Drosophila melanogaster: one gene and its partner. The protein of the gene in region 2 interacts with the protein of the main gene of each other region in a pairwise test. Each region holds a gene or a part of one and is shown on either strand. Other genes may lie near its edges.

Evidence for each region.
Region 1: the proteins of CG32767 (region 2) and yellow-g interact in a two-hybrid assay, tested with the Drosophila melanogaster proteins (2 studies listed by BioGRID).

What each region holds. Positions count from the first base shown.
Region 1 is NT_037436.4:2,269,375-2,274,509, reverse strand, and holds yellow-g (yellow-g), read left to right. Parts: upstream 1-1,740; 5' UTR 1,741-1,818; coding exon 1,819-2,259; intron 2,260-3,370; coding exon 3,371-3,567; intron 3,568-4,001; coding exon 4,002-4,545; 3' UTR 4,546-4,629; downstream 4,630-5,135. Other genes in the region: CG32302 (uncharacterized protein), read right to left, coding at 4,729-5,135.
Region 2 is NC_004354.4:5,079,999-5,084,982, forward strand, and holds the start of CG32767 (uncharacterized protein), read right to left. Parts: upstream 3,028-4,984; 5' UTR 2,419-3,027; intron 2,242-2,418; 5' UTR 1,488-2,241; intron 1,260-1,487; 5' UTR 1,183-1,259; intron 1,118-1,182; 5' UTR 1,076-1,117; coding exon 1-1,075.

The sequences.
Region 1 (5,135 bases), on a different chromosome or scaffold from region 2:
GTAAGCTGTTTTTGCAGAGTAAAAGAGTCTTAGCATCGTCAAATTTCCATTTGCATACTTTGCTTTTATTTATGTTGGAGCACATAAATATTTATCCACAGATTCGGCCCGACTGACAATCCCGCCCACATATCACAGCACTTATCACATCCGCCTGCTTTTGGGCATGTGTGTGCCATAAATCGGGGGATTACGATCGTGGGAAGGGGGGTTTGGACCCATGGCAGTTTATTGAATCGGAATTCACAAAAATTCAATCTGCATGTAATTTGGCATTATAGACAGACCCTTCCCATTCCGCCATGCGGAAGGAGCAGCCAGTCTGACCCCCGATGAATGGGTTATCAAAATGTTGACCCGCCGATGGTCATTTGATGATGGGCAGCTGTAAGGAGATTAAACATTTTGTGATTTAATGTAAGCCCAGTGCTGTCCATAATTCGCTGCACGAGCTGTCCCAAACAAAAGACTCTTCAGCTGGACACCGACTCCTCCACCGCTTGCCCGAATGTGTCAAAGATTTTTTATTCGCCGCTTGGCGATATGTGGGTTTCTACGAGTTAACGGGGTCATCGACCACGTCGGGCGGATACACCTCTAATCCCCCCGCAATCAACGTGCAAAAAAGTCCACCAAAGTCCACAAAGAGACTTGAGCAGCCAACAAAAAAAAATATGGCAAAAAATGTAGTTCCAGGGGGCACCCGGATTTGAACCGGGGACCTCTCGATCTGCAGTCGAATGCTCTACCCCTGAGCTATACCCCCGACTTGAAAATGGCGAACTCAGAGCGCCTTTTAAAGTTCCCTGATGCGATAAAATTTCGCCTTTGCATTTATCTTAAAATAGAAATGAAATCAATTTGGAACAGAGTGACTGTTCCGCGAAACTGTGGGTGTGATTCACACGACGAATCTCCGGCAACTTGCAATCTTATCTGCGAGTAATGTGCCCCACCAACTCCCCGAACTTTCTCCTTTCGCCCGCCCCCTCCCCCAAAAGCAAACTGATAGCTAGCTGCAGACGGACGGACTGACAGATGTTTTTGTCATCCGAAAATAGCTGGTAACTCGAGCCAAGAAACTGAAACTTTCTCGGTCGCAGATATGCAGGTCACAGACGTCAGCATTGATATTGAACTTTTGGGCCACTTTGGCAAGTGTTTCGCAGCGACCTCTGAACTTTGCCTGCCAAGGGGTGAAACTTGCTACTCTGTCGGATGCACAAGAGCGATCGATGAGTGACAGAAGCTATTTCGCAACTTGAACCCATTTTATTGAACGGACTTGAGTGACTAATTAGCTGCCTATAAATGGCTATAATAGCACAAAGTTATACTCAGAAAATAAGAGCAATAAAAGGAGTAGAAGTGATTAATTAGACAGGCATAGATTGCCATAATAGAACAAACTGTTATCAAGACAATTAAAGTAAAAACCAGGGGAGTTAAATTTGATTTGGATGGCTTAGGAAGAATCGTGTAATCTAGATAGAGGGAAGGGGTTAAGTTTGCATTTCATTTCCGCATCGCTTTCCGCATTGCTTAGAAACCGAGCGGGCTTAGAGGTCTGGCCGACTTCCGGCGTGGGCCAGACGTGCTGGCTGGGTGGTAGCCACTCCAGACAGACACTTGTTCCCCCCCGTGTCAAGCAACCAACGACCTTGCCGCAACACGCTCCACATGCTGGCTGCATAAGTCGTTGGGTATTATATATAAATGCAGGTCTACCATCGCTCAGACAGTTTTATGTTCTGGCCAACGTGGTGAATCGAGTGCAGAAGCTCTGTTTGTGGAAAGCGCAGAAAGAAACGCCGAAAAATGTCGCAGCTGCAACTGCTGCTCCTCGTCGCTTCGGCCTCCGTGGTCCTCGCGGGATACAGCTCCTCCACCGACGAGTCGACGGACGCCTCCAACTCCATTGGCGGCACCAAGTGCGACAAGAACCCGCTGAACGAACTGACCTTCCAGCTCAGCGGCAGCAGCCTCCACTGGCCCTGCGAGTCCACCAAGAACATCTACGTCCAGTCCGGCCGCTATGTGCCCCGTAACGTGATCGTGACCCGGGCCCAACTGCAGCGGGACTCCGCCTTCGTGGCGCTGCCCAGGTACAAGCAGGGCGTGCCCTTCACTCTCGGCAAGGTCAATCTAAAGAAGGGCGAGTGCCTGACCAAGATCGCACCCTATCCCTGCTGGGCCATTCAGGAGGAGGGCAACTGCCAGGCGCTGCAGTCCGTCGTGGACATAGCCGTCGATCAGAATGTGAGTGCAATTAACGCCAGTATTGTTTGGACCATTTTTTTTTTGGGGGTCAGACAAGTTGTCTCGTCCAAACTGCCAGTTCTGCCTTTAATTACGGACTGCTCGTTGTTGGCCACCATGGAGGCATAGCACTTTAACCCACACCAAATGTTTAATTCATATTTGTATCGTGGGTGGATTACAGGGTAGCATTGAAATGCTCTTAGGGCTATTCACTTTTTTTTTCTAAAAATGATTTAGTTTATCTTCTGATATTGATATTGATGTGCAGTCGCAGTGTTAAATATTTGCTAGCCCTTACAAAGTCGATCAAAATCGGGAGTTTAGCTCCAGGGTATCGTTTTCGCATTAACCCCTTGCCGGACGCACTTTTTTAATTGGTTAGCCTCGCTGTCGACCAAATATTACTTTTTTAATCAAATAAACGGGGCCACAAAAGTGAAGAGCTCCAAATAAAATTCATGCCCGTCAATTGGCGGCAGCAATTTAAGGGTAGAATAAACGGATACGGAAACGCCGAAAAAGCTGTGGGGTAAATGGAATATTATAAAGGACAAGGACTGCAGCTGAAAAGTGACAAGCAAATGCAGTGAAAAGTTCTCGAAAATAATTTTGGAAATGCTGGGAACAGGCCATCCAGCCGTGTTTTGTGCATTTCGATTGCACTTCAGAAGTTCTCAGCTTTAATTTTAAATGACAGATGCATTCGCAGATATTACAATGATGCTATTAAATATTTACATGACCTACTTACGATTGCGAGCATAAGCTGCAACTTAATAATTTCCTTCAATTATTGTTGGCGTCGAATCGTTCTCATTTAAATGCCATTCCCGTTTAGCTGCATTTATGCAAATCATTTCTTTATTTTATTTACACAAAAGTCGACGAAACAATAACAAACGGCAAACAAACGAGGCGACTGTATTTATTTATTTGCGCAATTTTCCATTCAGTGCTTTTCGCTGATACTCATTTTATGGCCACATATTTGCGAATGTGGAATTTTTAACGCCGCCAACATTTCAATTAGCCGCCAAATGAAAACATTAACAACAATCAACACGAGCTGCAATTGATAGCAATTAATAATTGCCTTCTCCGTTCGCAGGGACTTCTGTGGGCCTTGGACGTGGGCATTGTCAACACCCTGGAGCAGCCCATCCGCAGATGCAGTCCCAAGATCGTGGCCATAAACACGGCCAACCACAAGGTGGTCAAGAGCATCGACCTCAGCGACCTGGTCACCTCCGAGAGTCGGCTGCAGTTCATCGTGGTCGACTACTCCAAGGACAACAAGCCATTCGTGTGAGTTCCATTGCCTATACTCTTTTATTACCCTTAACTTCATCTGTGAAATGAGTTGTACTTAATCACTTTTTGAAATACATCAACTATGAAATTAATACCACACATTACATTATTATTAACCATTATTACTAACCATTATTTATCAGCACAATGATATTCAGAGATTCATATTGCAGTCATAAAATATTCGTTGAAATCATCGAACTGAATCAAGAGTTTGGAGTACTTTTACCACACACTTTCAATCATGCTTTCAATCAGCGATCATTGAGCCAATCAAAAGGGCATTAGCCACTTTGAGGCTCATATCTTATCTGCTCAAGGTAGTTCTCAGAAGTGTGGCTCATCATATACCAAATAAAATCGATTTGTATTGCATACATGATATCTAATCTCATTCCACATTATATTTCCTTCACTTTCAACCATAGCTATGTGGCCGATGCTGGAGCACGTAGTATCCTGGTATACGACATCACCGGCAACAAGTCCTACCGCATCGTCCTGCCGAAGGCCACCGCCCCCACCAGCGATGTGCTGTACGTGGCGCTCACCTCGAAGCCGGACGGCACCTCCACCCTGTTCTTCAGCTACCTGAGCTCCCCCCGTCTGTACTCCATCAAGGGCGAGTACCTGCGCGTTGGCCAGGGAGCGGGCTCCATCATCGACGTGGGCCCCAAGCCCTATGGCAAACAGGCGGTGCTGCTGGGCGCCGACGGCGGCACCTCGCTCTTCTTCCGCTACAAGGGCGAGAACGACATTTACCTGTGGGACTCGGAGACCTGCTTCAAGGCCGCCAATCTGCAGGAGGTGCAGCGGGGAGGCGACTGCCGGCTGTCCACCCAAGTGCTCCCGGGTCACAAGCGATTCATGTGGGCGCTGGAGAGCAACTTCCACGATTTCATCTCGGATCGCACGGGCTGCAACGGAGCCTCGATCGTCCTGCATCCTGTGGTGCGGGAATGTGACGATTGAGTCCGTATCCCTCCACTTTCTTAGGCTTAAGATTCAAACTGATTTGTTGTCGTTACTGGGTCTCATTAAAATTTTGGTGAATATTTATAGTTATTTGTAGTTTATCTTAAAATGTTCAGAATGATTTCAATTTTTTAAATAGGCATTTACTTGAATCAATATTGGTACCATGAAAACAATTCATTACTCTGACTCTGATTGGCACTTTCGAGTCTCAGCATTGAAATACTGTCCCATTGGACAGCTGTAGATCTGCAGCTGGTGATCGATGCATATGCAGTACTCATCCTTGGTGGAGACATTGGGACAGCTGAGGATCTCAAAGTCCGAGCACTGATAGATCCTATCAGTCACGCAGGTCAGGATCTTAGGATCAATTTGGAAGCCGGCGGGACAGGTCATCACCTCCAGTTCTCCATCGACGCACTTGCAGTACTCGATCTCAGAGGTTCGGAAGGGGCATTGGTACCTATCGTTGTTCATGCACGTGTGGGACTCCATCGCCTGAATGCTCCTCATGCTCCTGGTGTCGGGCACACAGCTGTAGCTGTTGAAAACGAATCCCTCGTGGCACTTCATCATCAGCGGAT
Region 2 (4,984 bases):
CATAGGTTGCTCCGGCCGTTAGGCCGCCAACAGCATTGCTTATGTAGACAGGTCGTCGTTGCAGCTGCACAAGAGCCGCCTCGGTCACGGGCACCGACAATCGGTGGGTGGTTGTGCTCACAATACTACCGGCGGGCAGTTGTACCAATTGCTGTGATCCTCCGCCGGCTGTTGCGGCGCCACCAGCGGCACTACTCGTCGCTGCTCCAGCTGTTTGCGTTGCCGCACTAATTTGGTACTCCAGCTGGCCGTGCTGCAGCTCCTCGTCATCGTCCTCATCCTCTTCCTCCTCCTCGTCGGGCATTTCATCATCCTCTTCCAGCTCCAGCTTAACTTGCGTGGACAAATGCGCGGTGGTTTCGGGCTCCTCATCGGCCTCGGCTGCCTGAGCCTCCTCTTCGATATCCTGCAGATTCTCATCGTTCAGCTCGGGATCTTCCTCCTCCTCGTCCTCCTCCTTGATATCGCTGGCGGCTAAAACGGACGAGTTACCCGTGGCCTGGATTATGATGCGGCGTCCGTTTAGCAGATGATGTTGCTGCTGTTGCTGCTGCTGCTGAATGAGCAACTGTTGCTGGTTGTCCAAGTGATTGCTGTTGTTGCTATTGCTACTGCTGCTGTTGCTGCTAAAGGAAGCGCTGTTGTTGGTTGCTGCGGCTGCTGTTGCTGCAGTTGTTGCTGCTACTGCTACGGCAGCTGCGGCTGCTGCTGCGGTCGGTGGGTGGTTGTTGCTGCTGTTGTCCAGCTTCAGATGATGATGCGGATGATGGTGTTGCTGCTGCTGCTGTTGCTGCTGAAGATGCTGCTGCTGTTGCTGCTGATGCGAATGCGAGTGAGGATGATGCTGCGAGTGATGATGGTGATGCACATGCGTATGCTGGTGAGGATCGTCGTCCTGCTCCATGGGAGCATCCTGCAGTATAAATTCGATCTGTTGCGATAGGGCGCTATCGTTAATGGCCATTAATCCGTCCATATCTTTGACACCGGCAGCGGCGCCAACGGCGGGGAAGAGCGATGGCAGCGCCGTCGACGTCCCGCTGCCGCCGTCGACGTTCGTCGCGCTGCTGGCCATGGCAGCGATATACTAATTGATGTATATTTCCCTTATTTGTATCTGCAAATCGTACAAACATTTGGATTAGACTCACATTCGGCCATGGCTGGTGGGCAATAACTTACGTTCTTCTCTTGAGCTGTTGGGGATGCGACGCCTGTGTTTGGCGTAAACCTCCAGCTATGTTGAATATATTGTTAGCCTGAGAAATAGAACAATATTATGAACTCTGCCACAAAATCTAACAAACAAGTTAAGTCCATTCGAGTTTCTGATGTCTTAAAGTACGGGTTATTAAATAAAACTAGATGAAAGCGAAATGCTTTCAGTACTGAGAGGAACAACTATACAAAACTTTGGTGATTAAGTGATAATTTCATCGAAACGAACTAGTTTTTGTTTGGAAAAAGCAGGGCTTGTTGTTACTTACAATTTTTTGTTTGTTTCTTGTCGTTTTGGCTGCCAAAGTTTTCTTTTATGTTACTACTCCCTATTTAAAAATCTTGCCTTTGGGCGTCTGTTGTTTCCTCTTCTACAGAATTTTGTTTGTCGAAGCTGCCATAATTAATAATTGTTGTATATTTTTCAAGTTGCCGCTTCCTCTTCGCCTTCTTCTTCTTCTCATAGATTTGCTGATGGGCTTCTTCTTCTGCTTTAGTTATTACATCTGTTTCTTCCTCCGTTTATTCTGTTCTCTTTCGAATGCCGCTTCTTCCTTGACTCGTATTATTATTACTATTATTCTTCGATTATACGATTGGAAAACACACACACACGCACACACACACACGTTCTTGTATTTTTGTTGTATTTTGTTTTGTTTTTCGTTTGCTCAACGCCTCGCTGTCGGCCTTTCCTTTATGTTCACATTTGGTTTTTTGGGCTGCACAAAAATTTTCCATTTCCTTGTCATGCGGTTTTCTGTGCTTTCCATGCGGCGACGCTGGCGTCGACGTCGCTGCTGGCTGCGCTGCTCCTGGCTGTCGTTGTTGTTTTAGCTTTTGTTGTTTCCTTGCTTGCTTTCCACATTTTAGTTAAAAATGTTTCTGCGCTGTTTTTTGTTGTTTGCTTCACGCACGCACACACACACACAGAAGTCGTTACATTTGCTCCTTTCCTTTTTGTTATTATTATTATTATTGATCTGCTCTCCTCTTTCGCATTTTGTGCAATTTGATTACTAACTGTAAGTGAGATGTAGAAAAATCAGGTAAATTATACACGTTTTTGCTGCTGTTAACAATTAAATGCGTTTTACGAAATCCGATTTTCCACCCACACTCACACACACACACCAGTGCGCGCCTTGGAAATAAAAACAAAAAATTAATTTTAGCTTTTCCCCCCACTCTCTCTCTCACCATCTCTCACACACACACACATTCACAGGTTTTTCACTTTTGCTCCATTTTTCTTTCGGTTTTTTTTGGGGAAGTCTCTCCTCTCCCTTGCTCACACTTTTTGACCTTTTCGATTGTTCTTCTTTTGCCTTTTTCTTTTGCCACTGCTGTTCGTTCCTTTGGTTTTATGTTGCGTTTATTAACTTGCTAATTGTTTAGTTCGTTTTATTGAATTTGTTTGCGTTATTTTTTTGCCATTTCTTTTTCGGTTTCGTTTTTTTTTTTGCAAGGCAGCAACAACAACGAACGACGAGACAATTAGCGGCTGCGCTGCTTCTTCTTCTTCTGCTGCTGCTTGCTCTCCTACTCTGATTCCTATTCTTCTTCTTCTTCGTCCGTGTTTCCCAGCCGATTTTTGCTCCCCCGCGAGTAGTTTTTCTTTGGCTTTCCCCCGTTCGCCTTTTGTTGTTGCCGTTTTCCACACACCCGCTTTACTTTTCACATCCGCAAGCTCGTTTTTCCCTTTCGCGCTGTTCTTCCACACTGTTCAATAATAACAAAAAAATATTTGCTTGTGTGTGAATTTTTGCCTCCCTGGGTCTTACTACGCTCGTGTGTGTGAGTTAGTGTTGCGCAGGGTTGCATTCGGCGGTCAGTGTTGGTAAACGAACGGGCGATGGCGCGCAATTTCGTGCAATATTCAAAAAGTTAATTGGTTTTCGGTTGGCCCGCACACAAAACAACGTTACTTTTATTTCGTTTTTCTTTTTGGTTCTTGTCCTACTCCGTTTCGCCTTTTTTTTTGCCTTTCTTACCCTTTTTAAACACCCACACAACTTCGTTCTCACTCACAACACAAAACCAAAATATACAGCAGGGGTCAATGAAATAGTATTATCAGGTACATCTTACTCAACATCTATTAATTTTTCCTTAAACAGATTATTTTTAAATAAGAAATGAAAAACAACATTTAATTATTATTATTAATTTAATAGGGGCTTAGTACACGCATTTTAAGATCATACTACAAGCGAGCATCTACTTTCAAAAGAAGGCCGTCTTAACGAATTCCCTATTCTCTCGGCCACAACTGTTCCTAAAAGGACTGCCAGAACTTGGAGCCCAAAAAGGGAGCACAAAAAGAGGACGTTGTTGGGCGGGGGAGCAGGGGGAGAGCTGACCTAACAAGCGGAAATACATAGGCACAAAAGAAATACGCCAAAAGGCAGTCGGCGTGAGCGAGAAGGATGGAAAATGGTCGAATTGCGCGAGAGCGAAAGAGGGGACGCTAGCGCGTCATACGTTGCACAGTGGAGCGAAATAGGTGATAATAAAACAACAAACTCATTAATATTACATTTAAAACATTAATTTAGTGCCTATGAGTTCACTGGAGCGTGAAAATTCGAAATTTGTTAGAACACCTAGTCTGCGCGTCCCACTGTGCGATGGGGCCCGCAGCGGGGGGCGACAAAAGGCGTGAGAGGTGGAGAAGCCGTTTTATTTCGACAGTTTCTGAATTGTGCTCTCTCTCACTCACTCACTCTCCTTCTCCATCTTGCTTCTCCCTTTTTTCGAGTGCTGCTCCTGGAAAGATGAGGAGCAAGAGGAAGAAAACATCATCACCTTGGAAGAAAAAAATTTTCAGTGGGAAATAATTCGCTTCGTTTTTTTTTTGGTCTTTTCATTTGGTGGGTAGTGGGTGGTTTTATTGCTCAGTGATTTTTCGCCGGGCGGCGACGGGTGGTGAAGTTTTTGGGGGTTGAAAGCACACACACACACACTAACGCAAACATCAGCAAAATAAAGGGCTAACAAGGGTTAAAAAATATCCGCACAACAAAATAATAGCAGATAAAAAAAAACTAAATGAAATTCACACACAAAGGCAGCTGGAATCCTCTCCCCCACACAACCACACACGCACACTCAAAGAAAAGAGAACTAGTTCTTTTGTTTTTCTCTTTTCGTAACTAGTGGATAACTACTTCCATGCCATACATCCATATATATAAATTTACATATTTATTTAATTGTTTATATTTTTTAGCTGGCGCCGCTCTCTTGCCCTCTCTCCATCACACATTATTCGCACTTCACGCGCACGCACACACACACACTCGCACATGCTCGACACGCACACTCCTTTCGCTTTTCCATCGGTTTTTACTCACACTTAACATCACATTTTCGTTTGTTTGCGGGGTGTGTGCAATGCAGTTGGTTTAGTTTATCAGTGGTTTTAGTTTGTTATGTTTTTTACAGTTGCTTTAATTGCGTTTTATCGCCTTTTTGTTTTGTTTTTTATTTTTTATGAAAGGTTGGTAATGTGACCAAAGCCTGATGCTTAGAGATGGAATAACTAAAGCGATACTGGCAACAGTCACTATCGATACTTTGTAGGTACATCGATACATCGAAAGGAGGTGCAATTGCCAAATATTTAAAACCTAAAACTAAAACTGAAAATACTAAAATACTTACTTGATGTCTGGGCACACTGAAACTGGGTTTTTGAATTTTTACCGGTTTTTTATACACAGAAACACGAAATGCCGCCGTTTTATAGCCGTTTTTCAATTAA